Tamandua tetradactyla: one gene and its partner. The protein of the gene in region 2 interacts with the protein of the main gene of each other region in a pairwise test. Links are inferred from orthologs where the notes say so. Each region holds a gene or a part of one and is shown on either strand. Other genes may lie near its edges.

What was found. The genes of interacting proteins can lie anywhere in the genome.
Region 1: the proteins of PKNOX1 (region 2) and PBX2 interact in binary tests that used the Homo sapiens proteins (3 or more experiments, as listed by UniProt). The link is inferred for Tamandua tetradactyla from reciprocal best matches to the Homo sapiens genes PKNOX1 and PBX2.

Annotation. Positions count from the first base shown.
Region 1 is NC_135331.1:87,699,976-87,706,903, forward strand, and holds the start of PBX2 (pre-B-cell leukemia transcription factor 2), read right to left. Parts: upstream 3,078-6,928; 5' UTR 2,775-3,077; coding exon 2,554-2,774; intron 1,591-2,553; coding exon 1,517-1,590; intron 1,292-1,516; coding exon 1,044-1,291; intron 938-1,043; coding exon 747-937; intron 572-746; coding exon 436-571; intron 312-435; coding exon 158-311; intron 1-157. Other genes in the region: GPSM3 (G-protein-signaling modulator 3), read right to left, coding at 4,214-4,351, 4,553-4,752, 4,972-5,080, 5,257-5,298; NOTCH4 (neurogenic locus notch homolog protein 4), read right to left, coding at 5,288-5,301. UniProt on the Homo sapiens protein: Transcriptional activator that binds the sequence 5'-ATCAATCAA-3'. Activates transcription of PF4 in complex with MEIS1.
Region 2 is NC_135336.1:100,391,478-100,398,833, reverse strand, and holds the start of PKNOX1 (homeobox protein PKNOX1), read right to left. Parts: upstream 3,091-7,356; 5' UTR 2,962-3,090; intron 2,121-2,961; exon of another isoform or gene 1-2,120. UniProt on the Homo sapiens protein: Activates transcription in the presence of PBX1A and HOXA1.

The sequences.
Region 1 (6,928 bases), on a different chromosome or scaffold from region 2:
TGGGGTGGCCTCTGTCCCCTGACATCCCCATTCCGTCTCAGCTTGTTTCCTCTCACCCCAAAAGGCCCCTCTCTCTACTATGATTCTGCCTAGTAGGAAGTGGGAACAAAAGCAGGAAGTGTGCAAAACAGCTAGGCAGAGTGGTGGCGGGATCCACCTGCGGAGGATGGGGGTGTCGGGGAGCTGGTGCGGCTGTGGCCCCCCTGGGTGACTGACACGGCAGTCTTGACGGCATAGATGTTTGCCTCCTCTTGGAACTTTCCAATATTTTTCTTATAGCGAATCCGCTTGTTGCCAAACCAGTTGGAGACCTGCGGGATATTGGGTAGAAATAAGAAAGGGTTGGGGGAAATCTTTCCCTCTGAAGCTCCTCTTTTAATGGGATCTGAGACCTTTTCATCCGAAAACTCCCTCTCCCCAGGCCACCCGCAATACCTGAGAGACAGTGATGCCACACTTCTTGGCAAGCTCCTCCTTGGCCTCCTCACTGGGATACGGGTTACTCAGGTGGGAGTAGAAATATTCATTTAGGACCTCGGTGGCCTGTTTGCTGAAGTTACGGCGTTTCCGCCTACAGGGGAGGGAGAAGGGTGGTGAGGAGGTGCTGGTCTGGCGGGGTCGCCATGTTGTACGACTCTCGGGGCACCCTCTTGGGTACAGCGTTGTGCAACGTGATGGCCCAAGGTCCCAGAGAGGCATGGGAAGGAGCCCAGACCTAAAGCCTGGCCTGGTCCCCTGGGTCCCACCTGGCATCCAGAAAGCGGGAGCGCAGGATCATGACGGCCTCACAGGTGCTCTGCTTGAGCTGCATCTGGATGGCGCTGAACTTCCGGTGGATGATGCTCACCATGCGCTCCATCTCCTTGGGTGCCACAGGGCGTGTGCGGCTCTGCTCCCTCAGCAGGTTCATCACGTGGGTCGTGAACTCGTTACACGCCTGCAGTGGGGGCCACTGGACTGGTGAGGAGGAGCCCTCTGGCCACAGGACTCGTCCCCCAAACCCCGAGCCTCTCCCTCCACCCATCCCAGCCTCCTCTCTTCACCTGCTCATACTTCTCCAGCTCCGAGTGGTAGATGTGGCGAATCTGGGCAAGTTTGCTGCGATAGTCTGAGTGCTCGATGGAGTTGTCAGGGGACACGCCACCCCCGGAGGCTGCAGCGGCTGCAGCTGCTGCCGCTGAACCGCCCCCTTTCTCTGGCCCAGCCACACCCTCTGCCAGAAGCATGTTGTCCAAGCGCATCAACTGTGGGTCCACAGGCTCCTCCTCTTGGGAGCTCCGGATGCTGAGCCCTAACATGCAGAGAAGTGGATTTAGGGACCTATGGACCCCACACCCAGCTCTCAGCCTTCCTGGTGCCTCCAGGAAACCCAATTTCCAGGCTTTGGTCCCCTCTCTAGCAACCTCCCCAAGTCCCCACTTTCCTCAAGGTCCCCAAGTTGTCAAGGTCTTAGCCAGAATCCTATAATGAACAGGGTCCTGTCCCCAGAGTTGAGCAGTCACAGGGGACCACATACCGGTTTTCTCCTTGATTTCACACAGGACGCTAAAGAGGGCAGGCTTCATTCGATGGCAGTTTAGGGCGTGTTTCCTTGGGAGGAATGTGGGGGGGGGGGGGAAATGAGAGAGAAAAGTTGAAGAGCTACAGAAATAGCAGGGGACCTGAGGGTGAGAAAGGGGAGCCTGGGAACTAAGGGAGAGAGGTGGATAAATCTCTAAGAAGGGAGACAGAAGTGGGTTTGGGGCAGGTGGGGTGTGTGTGTGTGGAGTTGGGAGAGCATGGAGATATGGGGCAGCTGTTTGGCTTCAGGAAGATAAGGGGAAGATGTAAGCAAGCGCAAGAAGCTCGAGAAGCTATGGGTGGGCTGGGGGCTTTGGAAGATGATTCGAGGAAGAGTTTGGAGTAGGAGTTTGGGGGATCACTGGACAAACGAGCATAGACTTTAGGGGAAGAGAGATGCAGGATGGGTTGGAGAAGAGTCAGAGTTTAAGGGTGTCAGAGAGGGGTTGGGGGATGCCAAGCTGAAGTGGGGAGTTCAACATAGGTGTATGTGTATAGGTCCCGGGACTGAGCAGAGCGGGGTGAGAGGTGGGGGGATTTGATGCACCTAGTGTTCGACTGAGCAGAGGAGAGTGTTAGGAGCTCTGGAGAGGGGTGCAAAGGTCCCCACGTCTGAAGAAAGTGGGGGTGGGCTGGGTGGAGAGTTAGGAAAGAGGACAACATTGCCAGGGAGCAGTTTTTCAGCCTAGGAGCCAGAAGTAGGTTCAGGGGGATGATAAGGATATTCCAGGGGAGTGTGGGGGTCAGTGAGAGGTTGTAGGGGTGGGGATGGTGGTGAGATCATCTGGGGTTCCCTCTGTGGAGGTTTCAGGGTCTGGGGGTGAAGGGACGTTTAAGAGGGATCACTTATCTCGGGGCTCCTGGGAGTAAGGAGAGAAGAGAGCTGTAGGATTCCGGTGAGGGTCTTGGAGTTAGGGGGTTCCCAGAAGATTCAGAGCTTGTGAATGGGGGTCCTGCTGGGTCTGTGTAGGGTCCCGGGGTGGGGGCACTCACTTGGCCTGGGCCTCGTCCAGGCTCTGGTCGGTGATGGTCATTATCTGCTGCAGAATGTCCCCGATGTCTTGCTTCCCTCGGCCTCCCGGGACCCCCCCGCTGCCCCCACCGGGGTCTCCGCCACCGGGAGGCTCGCCGGGGCCCCCGGGCTCCCCACCCACCAATCCCAGGCCCCCCCGGGCTCCGCCTGGAGGGGGCGGCCCCAGCAGCCGCTCGTCCATAGCTGGGGGGGGCCCCTGGGGCCCCCTCCCTGCTCTGCCCCTCCCCCCCGCCTGGTTACTTCCCCCCCAAACTCGCTGGGGCCGCTGTTCCCTCCGCCCCCACCCCCACCCGTCTCCCCCGCCCTCCGGGCTCCCCCGGGGGTTCACCCCGGCCCTGAAGGGAGACCTGGGGTACCGGCTGGGTCCCCACAGGAGACCCCGGCCCCCGGCGGCGGAGAAAATGGAGCCGGAGAGAGAGAGGAGGCCCAAGCGGGGGTGTGTGTGTGAGAGAGAGAGAGAGAGGGAGGGAGGAGGGAGGAGGGGGGAGGGAAGGAGGGAGGCTGGGGGAGGGGAGTCAGGGAGGAAGAGGAGGGGAGAAGAGAAGAGGAACAGGGAGGAGCTGGGGGCGGAGAAACACAGAAACCGAGGAACTGAGACCGAGTGGAGGAGGGGAGAGGGACGAGGGCTGGAGGGGAGGAGACTGTCCCAGTGGGGGGGAAGCCTGGGTTTTTCTGTGGCCTGGGAGGGGGGCGTGTCGCGGGCTGGGGTCCTACCATCTAGGTTCTGAGTCAGGGTTCTGGGTGATGGGGTCTCTGACCGCCGGAATGCCTGGGTTCACAGACAGCTCAGTACATATTTCTTGTCCTAATGACTCCCCTCCCTGTTCTACTTAATTAAAACCAGGAGCGGGTGGGGGGGTGGGGGGGATAATTAGGGAGGTCTCCAGTCGCTGCTTAATGAGCCAGTAATTAACCAGCCAGGGAGGGGAGCTGGCTTCTGGCCAAACTGGGAGAAGGAGACAGCCTCTGACCTCACCTTTTCACCCCCCACCCGGGCCCCTCAAACACCAGTCTTCAGTCCAGAAGGGAATTACATTTATTCACACAACCAAAACATCAGACTCAGAGCAGCAGCGGGGAGAGAGGGTGGGCAGGGCTAATGGTCCATTCACAGCCTGTAGGCCCCTCAGTCCTTGGGCTGGAGGGTGATAGCGGTGGGGGTGGGAGAACAAGCTTAATCTCTCTTTCCCAGGCCCATCCACCCTCCCTTTCTTCTTGCTGGGAAGGAGGGCAGCGCCGTCTCTCCGGTCACAAGGTTTGCCTTGGGAGGTGGAAGCCTGAGCTCTCAAACCCTGCCTAGTAGCTCCACCACTGGGGTGTCCCCACAGCTCTCGCCACATGAGAAGAGGGGGTGGGTTTTCCTTGGCCGGGATCTTCTCACTGCCTCAAGCTTCCTTGTGCTTGGGGAAGAGTTAAATGACCATCCTACCTTGCCTTTCTCCTGTTCCCAGGGTTTGAGAACTTTCACCCCCTCCAGTTCTGAGGGAAGGTGGATGAGACGGATGAATATTGAGGGCCTTTCAGTCTCTGGTGCCCCTGCCAAGCAGGGTCGAGGGCATGCAGTGGGCTGACCAGGTTTGTGCCCCGGGAGTGTGAAGGGGGCTGTTGGGGTCCACAGTCTCAGCAGGTGTGGGTGGGTGGCCGGGACCTTTGTTCCTCCATTCGACCTCCACCCTGAACCCTCAGCAGCAACTCCAGGAGCTCCTGCCCCCCTGGGGGGAGGGGAGGCTCTGACCGCTGGGCTTCCATCCGCTGACACTGGAGGAGTGGGGGGGGGGGGGCCTTAAGAGGTGCCAAGGCTGTGCTGGGCATATAGGACACCTGTGCTGGGGATGGTTTGGGGGGAGCTAGGGACTTGGCGATAAGGCAGATGCCTGGGGAGAAGGAAGATGGGACCCGAAAGTGAACAGAGGCCAAGGATCCAGGAGGCTTGGGTCTTGCCTCCTGGGGGTGTCTCACCTGGTGACTGAGGATGGTGCTGTAGAGCTGTTCTCTGTCCTCAAGTGGCCGGGGCAGAGCCTGGGCTGAGGTTGGAGTTTTCAGGGGGGCGTGGAAGGTGGCCCTCTGCTCCTCTAGGCGGCGGGACTGGGCCTCAGCCACCAGGTCCAGAAGGTGTTCCGTCTGCAGGGAGAGCAGGGAGGCCGAGCGGGGCCCCATGGCTAGGGAGAGGAGAGGGAGGGCTGAGAGACCAGAGGGGTCGGCAGATGGGCTGGGGGCACAGCGTGAGGTGCTTAGGGACTCGGGATCAGAGCTGAGGGGGTATGATAGGGAGTCAGGAGGAGGCAGGGGGAGAGCCCAGGTTGGAGTGAGTCTTGGTAATGGGGTCAGGGAGAATGTGGGCACCAGGGCTGGGAGGCTCCCTGGGAGGCTGGAGGTACCTGTGTGCCGGGTCCCTGAAGGAGGAGGGGACGGAGGAGCAGATCGCCAGGGCCGACTGGTGGTGCTCAGAGGGGGCCAGCCCTGCTCATCTTGGGGGGAGTCCTGATGCTGAGAGATGTCCGTTCCAGTCAAGCAGGGTTGGGTGGAAGGGGTGGGGTGGGCAGGGGGCTAGGCTGGCGGCCCATTTCCTCTCTTTGGGTCTCCATTCCTGTTCCTTCTGTCCCAGGTCCTCTCACCTCCCTTCTCCCCCAGTGTCAGCCTCCCCCACACAGGGCCCAGCTCACCTGCTCACCATCTTCTTCTTCCTGGAGTCTCTCAGCCTCCATCCCCTGGAGGGGAGAAACTGATGGGGGAGGGGTGGCTGGGATTTGGGAGGCGGGCTGGGACCCTGGATTCCAGAGAGGAGTGGGGGCTGGAAGGGGTGGGGGTGAGCTGGGGATTGGATGCCTGGGTTATGAACAGGCAGCTGGGTTCCTGGTCAGCACCCCCCATGGGCCCCGCCCATCCCTGTCAACTTCCTCCAGTTCTCCTTTCCCACTCAAACAGCTTGCTCGACCTCTCTTTCCTCAGGGGAGCACTGAGTCCAGGGAAAGCGCCTCCAGCTACAGGAGTGGAGTGGGGATTTATAGTGGGGGAAGGACTTCTGGTCTCATCCCCAAAGACTCAGAACCCCTCCTCCCCAACTCCTAGCTCTGTCCCTCTACCAGTACCTCCCCTTCAGCTCTTTCTGTCAACACTGTCAACACAGGAACTAGCTATACAGGAAGTGGTTTCACTCCTCAGAAACCCCCCTCCCCCAACACACACCAGGTCCTACCCTCCTCTAGGATTAGGTCCTCCCCATGCATTTCTTGGACCTAATGGGACCAGGAGTGGCACAGTCCCACTGGGAAGTAGAGGATTTAGACCCAGGAATGTCGGGCCCTCAAGCCCGTAACACGCCAGCACTGAATACAACACACGGTAAGTATTCAATAAATACCCCTGCCCTCAAGGTGCTTACAGTCACTTCAGGAGACAAGATGTGCACCAAATAGAGAATGAGAGAGAGTTCACTCTGGCAGCTCACAGTTTAGTGCAGACAAGGGAAGGGGCAGGGCAAACTTTGTTCTGGTCATGAATAAAAATGGAAAGGAGAGATCACTACCCTTGCTTGGCCTTGGTCAATGCTGGTCAGGCTAGGTGGCATGAGACAGGAGCAGACAGATATTTGGGGTCTCTAAATGGCAACCTGCCATGATAGGAGACTTAAGTTGAGTGACTTAAAACATGAGATGTGGGGATATCTGGTTCTGCCAGATACTACTCTGCAATTGTAGGTATATAACCTATCTGTGTCTGTTATGAGAAATATGGGGTTTTCATGGCCCCTACCTTATAGAGTTGATGTGGAGATTAAATTTGATGAAGCTTGGCACATACTGAGTGCTCAGTAAGGGGTATTATTATTAGTTTTCAAAATGCCTTATATCTCCATGTATCTGGCTCATCACCATTAAAGACGTGTAGCCACATTGCTGAAAGGTGAGTAAAGTTTCTTTAAGGTGCTATCTCCCTCTCCCTCTATTTAACCTGAGGTCTTAGGTGGCCATCACTAAACGTAAAGGACGAAGGGCATGGTCTAGCATGTGTATGGGTTCTCACTGGTATACTAAAGCTTCTTGCTTTCAGTGAATACCCTAAATTAACACGGGACTCCCAAATCTACTTATTCTTGCTCTTTAACTGTACCCAAAGCTCTCATCCAAATGTTGAGCTAAGGGCACAAAATTCGGAAAATACTATACAGTCACTCCTGCATTTTTCCCACTCCACTCCCCAACCCCTCCAAAAAGAAAAAAAGTAACACTTTAAGTCAGCTTTAATGTGAGGTGGCAATTTGGGGCTCTTATAGTGGTGGCAAGAAGAGTGGTGCTTCATCCCTGCAGTGGAGTTCCTTTTTTACAAGGAGTCATC
Region 2 (7,356 bases):
TTTCCCCAAAGAAATCTTTCATTGACCAGCCCTGCTACATATAAAATGGCTAAGACTGAAACACTGTTTCTGCCCCTTCCAAAGTCCCTGAGCTGTGTTCTGTGAACCAGTACTTCAGGGAAACAGGAATTTTAAGCCATTTCAGACTATACATTTGCTTAATTTCGTGCTGTGGATTTTCCAGAAACCATCACTTTAAACCTCAGAAACAAGGGGCTGTTTGCTGAAGGCAGGCGGCAGGCTGGGTGCTCCGACCAGCAGGACCAGGATGGCAGGCCAACAGGGTAGGTATACTGAGGCTCATCTGACAGAAAGAAAAGCAAGGCCCTGGGCCAGCAATCGTAGCCAGGCCTGCTGGCTAATTCCATCAAAGGACTGACGCTCCCTGCCCCGAAATGTTTTACAATGTCCACCAAATGAACTTTTTCTAAAGTATATTACCACCTTGAGGGCCTTCTTAGAGTTTTTGCAAAACCCAGAGTAGTCACCATTGGGGAACCCCACGTGCCTACTGCTACTCCCACACCTGCCATGGTCACCTGTACCATCTGTGCAACTATTCTACTCGTTTGAGGAAGATAAAAGAGAAGGGCACCTACATTTCCCATGAGTAAATAGACTTATAGTGCAGGGGCTCTTTACTTGGTATCTGTGACCTGGAATGAGAAAAACTATCAGCTGTCTGTGTGCACTAAATGCCAGCTGAAAGGCTGTGTTCTCCAATTACAAACGCAGACCGTAAATGCCACAGCTTTAGGAGGACCTGGGACTCTTCCCCTAAGAGAAATCACAGGCATTTTCATAAAACATTAAGTTGTTTCAGAAATTTCAAAATATCAGTTATGCTCATCAAACTCCAAAATTATCAGATCTGCTACTGGATCTTGTCACTTGGTGAGTTAATAAAGAGCACGGTACAGTAATTTATCACCAATGTGTTTTCCAATATTTTGGTAACTGTATTTTTCAGTGGTAAGTAGCTTCCTTCTTGATCCTTTTCATTTTAGTGTTTCTCTGAAGAGACAGAAAGAAGCCTGAGGGAGGTGGGAGGGAGAAGTAAAGTTTAGGACACCCCAGGGGGCACACTTTGCATCACTTTAGCAGTTTCAGGCCTTTCCTTTTCTAATGTTTCAAATGCAATTATGCAACAAAAGTGAACGTTGTAAGTAGAAAGCTACTATTCATATGTAATACTATTCTAAACAGTTACAATACAGTGCCTGGGTTTAAAATATCTATAAAACAGAGGAAAGGAATCTCAAAAAAACACTTTGGCCCTGGTGTCATTAACAACTAGTCTGTTAAATCACAAGCTTAAAACGCAAGTCATCTTTCACCCACCATGATTCATCAATTCCAAAACACTTAAATCTCCGAAATTTTGTGGGGCTCCTTCAAAGGAAAGCACTGTCAGCGGTATCATTCTAGCTGCATACACAAGAGACTCATTGTCTCTTTGAGTGGCAGACTCAATGAAATAAGCGAGCCAGATATCACCCCCCACCGTAAGCAAATTCAGGAAAAATAGTAAAATGGGTGGGGGGGCAGATCGGAGGCAGCCTGCCTCGTCCAGACCACTGTACCTACCTGAGATTCAGGACATTACCGAGATCTACACTGGCAAACGTACAGTTGACCTCAATTCTTGCTCTAATATTTAGCGAAAGCCCCTAAAGTTACACTTAACTACCGTAAGGGGGAAAGCAACCCCTTCCTAAGGAAATTCGGTCACTCTCATAAATCAACGAATGCTTATACTCTAAATAACTACGTTAAGCTGCTCTTACATGTGACAAATCTATTCTGGAGCGCTGCAAGCCTGCGCCCATGCACCGAACACGCACTCCCTTCCGACCGGCCTCCGCAGGGGCCAAGCATCACAGAGGGCCTCCCAGCGGGTCTCGGGCACCATCAGGAACCGGCATTCCAGGAGCCCGCGGGAGGACAGAAAGCAGACTCGAGCTTCTCAAGCCTTTTCAGGTGACTCACGATTCCTCCCTAAAGGAACGCCCGCGAGCCGCTCGGCCAGGCCACTCCGGACCCTGCGGTCATCCACCCCAAACTGACGCCGCGCCTCACACCTCTGTAACTAATTCCACAAGACCAGCCCGACGCTCCGGCGGGACAGCCCCCAGTGCGACCCCCGTGCACCACCCCGCGCCCCGAAAACGCTCGGACCCGGCGGTGGCCGCGGGCTGCATTCCGCGCGCTCCCAGGGCCGCAGGCCAGGGTGGGACGCGAGGGGAGGGGGAGCAGGGGGGAAGCTGAGAGGAGGCGACCTACGAGGGGGAAGGGCCCTGCGAGGAGAGGAGGGCTGCGAGGAGGGGGGCTGCAAGGAGAGAGGCACCGCGGGGATGCGTCCCGACCTCCGCCCGGCGGCCGCCATCTTCCCGCCCCCACCCGCGCGCGAGCCCGCGACCCCCCCCCACCGCTACGGGGACCGCGAGGCTCGCGACCCGCCTACACCCAGGCCCGGGCCGGCGCGCGCCCCCGCGGGCCTCTCAGCCAGGCCCGCCCAGCCCGCGCGCCCCCGCGCGCCGCCCGCGCCTGGCGCGCCCCCGTGCACCGCCCTTCCACCCCCGCAGGGGCGCGCGCCGCGCTCCGAAGGGGACGGTTAGGAGGGCGCGCCTCGCAGCGGGCCCAGCGTGGCGGCGCCTTCCAGAAATTTCCTCCCACCTCAACCCTCACTTAAAAACAAACTCGGCGCGACCCCGAGTGGGTCCCGGCGTGGACGGCGCCCCCGCCCCGCCGCCGCCCGCACCCCTCCCCCACCGCGCCCCCCTCGCCCCTGCCCCGGGGCGGCGGGTCAAGTGCGGGGGCCTGCTTGGCGTCCCGCCCCGCCGACAGCCAGGCGTCGGGTGGCGGCGGGGCGGCGGGGCGGCGGCGGCCGGTGTGATTGATAGGGACGGCGGCGGCGGCGAGCGGCGGCGGCGGCGGCGGAGCGGTTGAGTGACAGCTTACCTGGGTGCCAATCTTCATCACACTGACAAGCGGCTGCAGCAATCGGGACCCGCAGTGCCGCGCCCGCGTCCAACCGTCACGCCGACGCCGGGCCACGCGACACAGCCTCGCTCAATGGGAGGAGGGCGACGCCGACGCGCGCAGCATCAATATTCACAGAGGGGGCGGGGCCTTCCAGCGACGCGCCCCGCCCCGCGCCCTGCCAGACGGCGGGCGGGGGCGGGGCCTGCGCTGAAGGGGCGGAGAGCGCGCCGGGGGCCTGGTCGGCGCCGGCCCCACCCCAACTCGCGCTGCAGCCGGGCCACGCCCCCTCCGGCCGAGCGGGCGCGCGGGAAGGCCCGCCCCTCCCCGAAGGCGGAGATACCCGTCATGACTATGCAGATGAGGGCGTGGCCTCCAGAGCGTGCCGCGCCCCTTTGCCTGCCACCGCAGCTCGTAGTTGCTGCCCGGCCGAGAGCGGCGGGCGGGGCGCAGATGGGCGAGACTATCTTCCGCGGTCGGGGAGGGGCCAGGGCTGGACCGCGGGCGGCCGGTAGTGTTCCCGGCCCGCCCTCTGAGCCTCCGCAGACCGACGCGTCTGTCCGGGCCCGCTGTGCGCTGGGGACCTGGGCTGGGTCCCGCACCCCGCGGCCCTTTCCGGTCTCGGAGGCCGCGCGCCTGCGCCGGAGTCGGGGCCGTCGGAGTGAGCACGTGCGCGCTGCTGCGGAGCCCGGGGCCGGGGCCGGGGCGGAGGTCGTGCGGGCCTGCGGACTAGCCTCGGCCCACGCAGGCCCGGGGGCTCAAGGGTCCCGGGCCGGGAACGCCGTCTATCCCCAAGGCGCGGGAGCTTCGAAGAAAAAACCCAAACACATCTTCTTTGCATATTTTCGTTTAAGTAGCCAGCCATTCCTCCTGCTTTCCGCCGAGTTTCTACCAAAGATCTGTTACTCTTTCCCCGAGGACCGTGTTCAGGTGTGTGAATTAAAAGGCCGTGTGTAATTGTCGGTGGGACTAGGCGCGTAGAATTCTGCCTCTCATCAGTTGCACTAGGTACAAATTATAGGGCTAAAAGAACTGTCTCGGCACTTAGATTTGCAAAACGGGTTTCCAGAGCTCATTGACGTGATTTCATCTAGAGATGAGCAGTCACATCTTTGTGCTCCTATATTTATCCTGATATTTCCAGCCCTTGCCTCACCAGAGAGGGATTCCAATCCTACCTGTGCTGGGCCAGTTGAGCCTGCCCGGTGGGCCAAACAGGACGGGCACCGCGCGGGTCGTGGAGGGTAGGCAGGCAAAGAGGCGGAGACGCCTTGAGGGGCACAAGAAGTGACTGTTGCCTAGTGCCAGCCTTGGCGAGGGAGCACCCGCTCTGGGCCCGGCCTGTCCCAGGTGTTGGGGGTCTAAAGAAAAGGAGAGACTGGACCGTACCCAACGCAGGTGACCGCAGTCCGGAAAGCAGGCTGTGACCCAGACCTGGCCAAATTCCCTACATGCTGCTTGGCCAGCTGGAGAGGCGGGAGGGGCTGGGGGAGGGCATGGCTGTGGTTGTTCTTAAGGTGGGTGAGGAGCTGGAGGGGCGTGGATAAGAAAAATGAGCAAGACAGCCATGTAAAAGTAAGGGTTTGGGCCTGGTTTTCAAGGCAACCACTTTGGTTAGCTAAACTGCTTGGGTTTGCAGAGGTGTGTGGGGACAGGAAGTCATGAGCCATGAGTGGGGTGGATGATCCTTTTAAAAATATGACCTATCCAAAGAGCAACCCAGGGAATCTTATGAATGACCCAAAGCTTAAATTAGACTTGCCAACTTTTCATTTTGCCATAGTAGCTCAACCCCAGCTGCCCTGTCCCTGGCCGGCTCTGCTGCAGCCACCACTTGCCTTGCTGCTCCTTGGTCACACCAGGCTTGCTGTTCCCTCACCCGAAACACTCTTCCCAACGGCACCTCAGGGCACCCTCCCACCTCCCCATAGCCTTGGTACCAGTATCGCTTTCTCAGAAGATACTCACTGTAGTTTTCTAGGCTTCTCAAGCAAACACCAGGATATGGGAATTTATTTGCTTATGATTTTGAGGCTAAAAGAAAGTTCAGATCAAGCCATATCAAAGTGATGCCTTCTTCCTGAAGACCCACTGATAGGCCTTCTTGTCTCTTGTGCCATGTGACACGGCACCCAGTGGCCGTGGCTGCTCTCTCTCTACTTTTTCGAGTTTCATTGATTTCAACTTTTTGCTTCCCATGGCTTTTTTTTTCTCTCTCTCTCTCTTTCCTTAGCTGAAGTAACCTTTCTAGGACATGGTGGGTACAACTAGTGCTACTACAAGTGCTAGGGAACTAATAATGCTGTGTAACAAATGGCCACAAACTTAGCGGCCTGGAACGACTTACACTGTGATCTCATGGCTTCTCTGGCTTGAGATCAGGGCATGGCTTAGCCGGGCGCTCAGCCACAGGGTATCCCCATCAGGCCACAGACAAAGCGTCAGCCGGGCAGGGTGAAAACGAATCTGTTTCCAGGCTCACCCATGGGCAGGGGTCAGGTCCTGCGGCCACTGGACTGCGGCCTCGTTTCCCCCAGGCCGCTGGCCATTCTGAGGCCCAGCCACGCGGCCTCCACACTCTGCAGCTGGCAGGACGTAAGGGACAAGCTTATGTAATCACAGAAGTGACACCCCATCCTTTCTCTGTATCCTGAGGGTTAGCAGCAAGTCCCAGGTCCCGCCCACATGCAGGGGGAAGGATTGCTGAGAGCGTGAGTGCCAGGGAGAGAGGGCCCTGGGGGCCCGTCCCACAGCCTGCCCACCACAGGTGGCGTTTTTTTCTGCTGTGTAAAAGAGGCAGTTGTGATGGAGCCAGAAGAGCCTTGGGCCTGGAGTCAAAAGTCCTGAATGTCAAGAGAGCCTGGCTTTGCTGGTTACTGAGCTCCAGTTTCCTCCATCTTCAAATAGTGATAGTGCGGCTATCATGGGATTGCGTGGCGGAGGAAAGGAAGTGGCGGGTGGTAAGCACCCAGGGCCCAGTAGACCCTTGGGGGTCAAGGCAGCTAATGCCGTCAGCTTCGCTTCCCCAAGGACCCCATCAGAGTGCAGCAGGGAAATGGCAGTGCAGCCAGATGTGAGGTTTATCCATGTTAAAAGACAGTTAAAAAAGAAGTCATGCCTCCCATACAGATATAAAATGAACACATGGCATGAATTTTAATGAATTCATTAATTAAATGAGGGAACAGGAAGCTGTTGGAGCCGACTTAAAGGAGAATGCAAAGAACAATAAGATTTATGGATCAGGAATATTGGCATGCACTTGCCAATTGTGCAAAACTGGCCTTTGGGTGGGAGGGTTGGTGAGGCTGGGGCCAGAGCTTGTCCCTCCTCCATTCAGAACCCATTTGCATGTCCACAGACAAAAATGATTTGCATTATCCTCATTTCTCTCCAAAGTCAATGAAGGGCTACAATCGGAGACCCCAGAAGAGTGAGCACTCAGGACTGTGGGGTTCCCCTCTCTGGGGGACGGAAATGTTTGGGGAATGGAGGGTGGTGATGGTGGCACATCGTGAAGATAATTATGGTCACTGAATTGTGTACTTGAAAGAAGTTAAAGTGGGAAATGTTAGTTTGTATATATGTTACCATATATATATACCACAGAAGAAGCAGAAGAATGCCTACTTGCCCACTGGACACACTTAGTACTATTTTTTGTATGTGTATTCCAAATTTCCTACAGGATCTTGGGGCCTAGTGGTTGAGGAAATCCTAACCTAGAAGCACAGCTGACCAGGCAGGACTGTCAGGGAAAAGAGGTCCTGCGCTTTGATCAAAGCACGTGTGCCGGTTTGAATCTGTTGTGGACGCCAGAATAGCCATGTTCTTTAATAATCCTCATTCAATATTGTTGGGTAGGATCTTTTTTATTGTTTCCATGGAGATATGACCCACCCAGTTGTGGGTGGTGACCTTTGATTAGACGGTTTCCATGGAGATGTGTCTCCTTTCTACCCATTCAAGGTACAGTTGCTTACTGGAACCCTTAAAGAGGGAACCATTTTGGAAAAAGCTTCAGAGTCACCAGAACCAACAGAGCCCATGCAGGAGAGACCTTTGGAGATGAAGAAAGAAAATATCCCCGGAGAAACTTCATGAAATGACAAAAACAACAGAGAGAGCCAACAGAAGCTTTAGGGTCAACAGAGAGAGCAGAGACACGGATGTTTAGAGATGCTTGGAGCCTAGCAAACATTGCCGTGTGTTTTCCCATGAAATGTTAAGCCAGCCAGAACCTGCAGAGAGCCAAGGGAAACCAAGAGTTGAAAGCCAGCCCCAGGGAAGCAAAGTGGAGACCCCCACATGGACAGAGACTGAAAGCAACAGAGCCCAGAAGCAAGGGACCAGCAGATGCCAGCCACATGACTT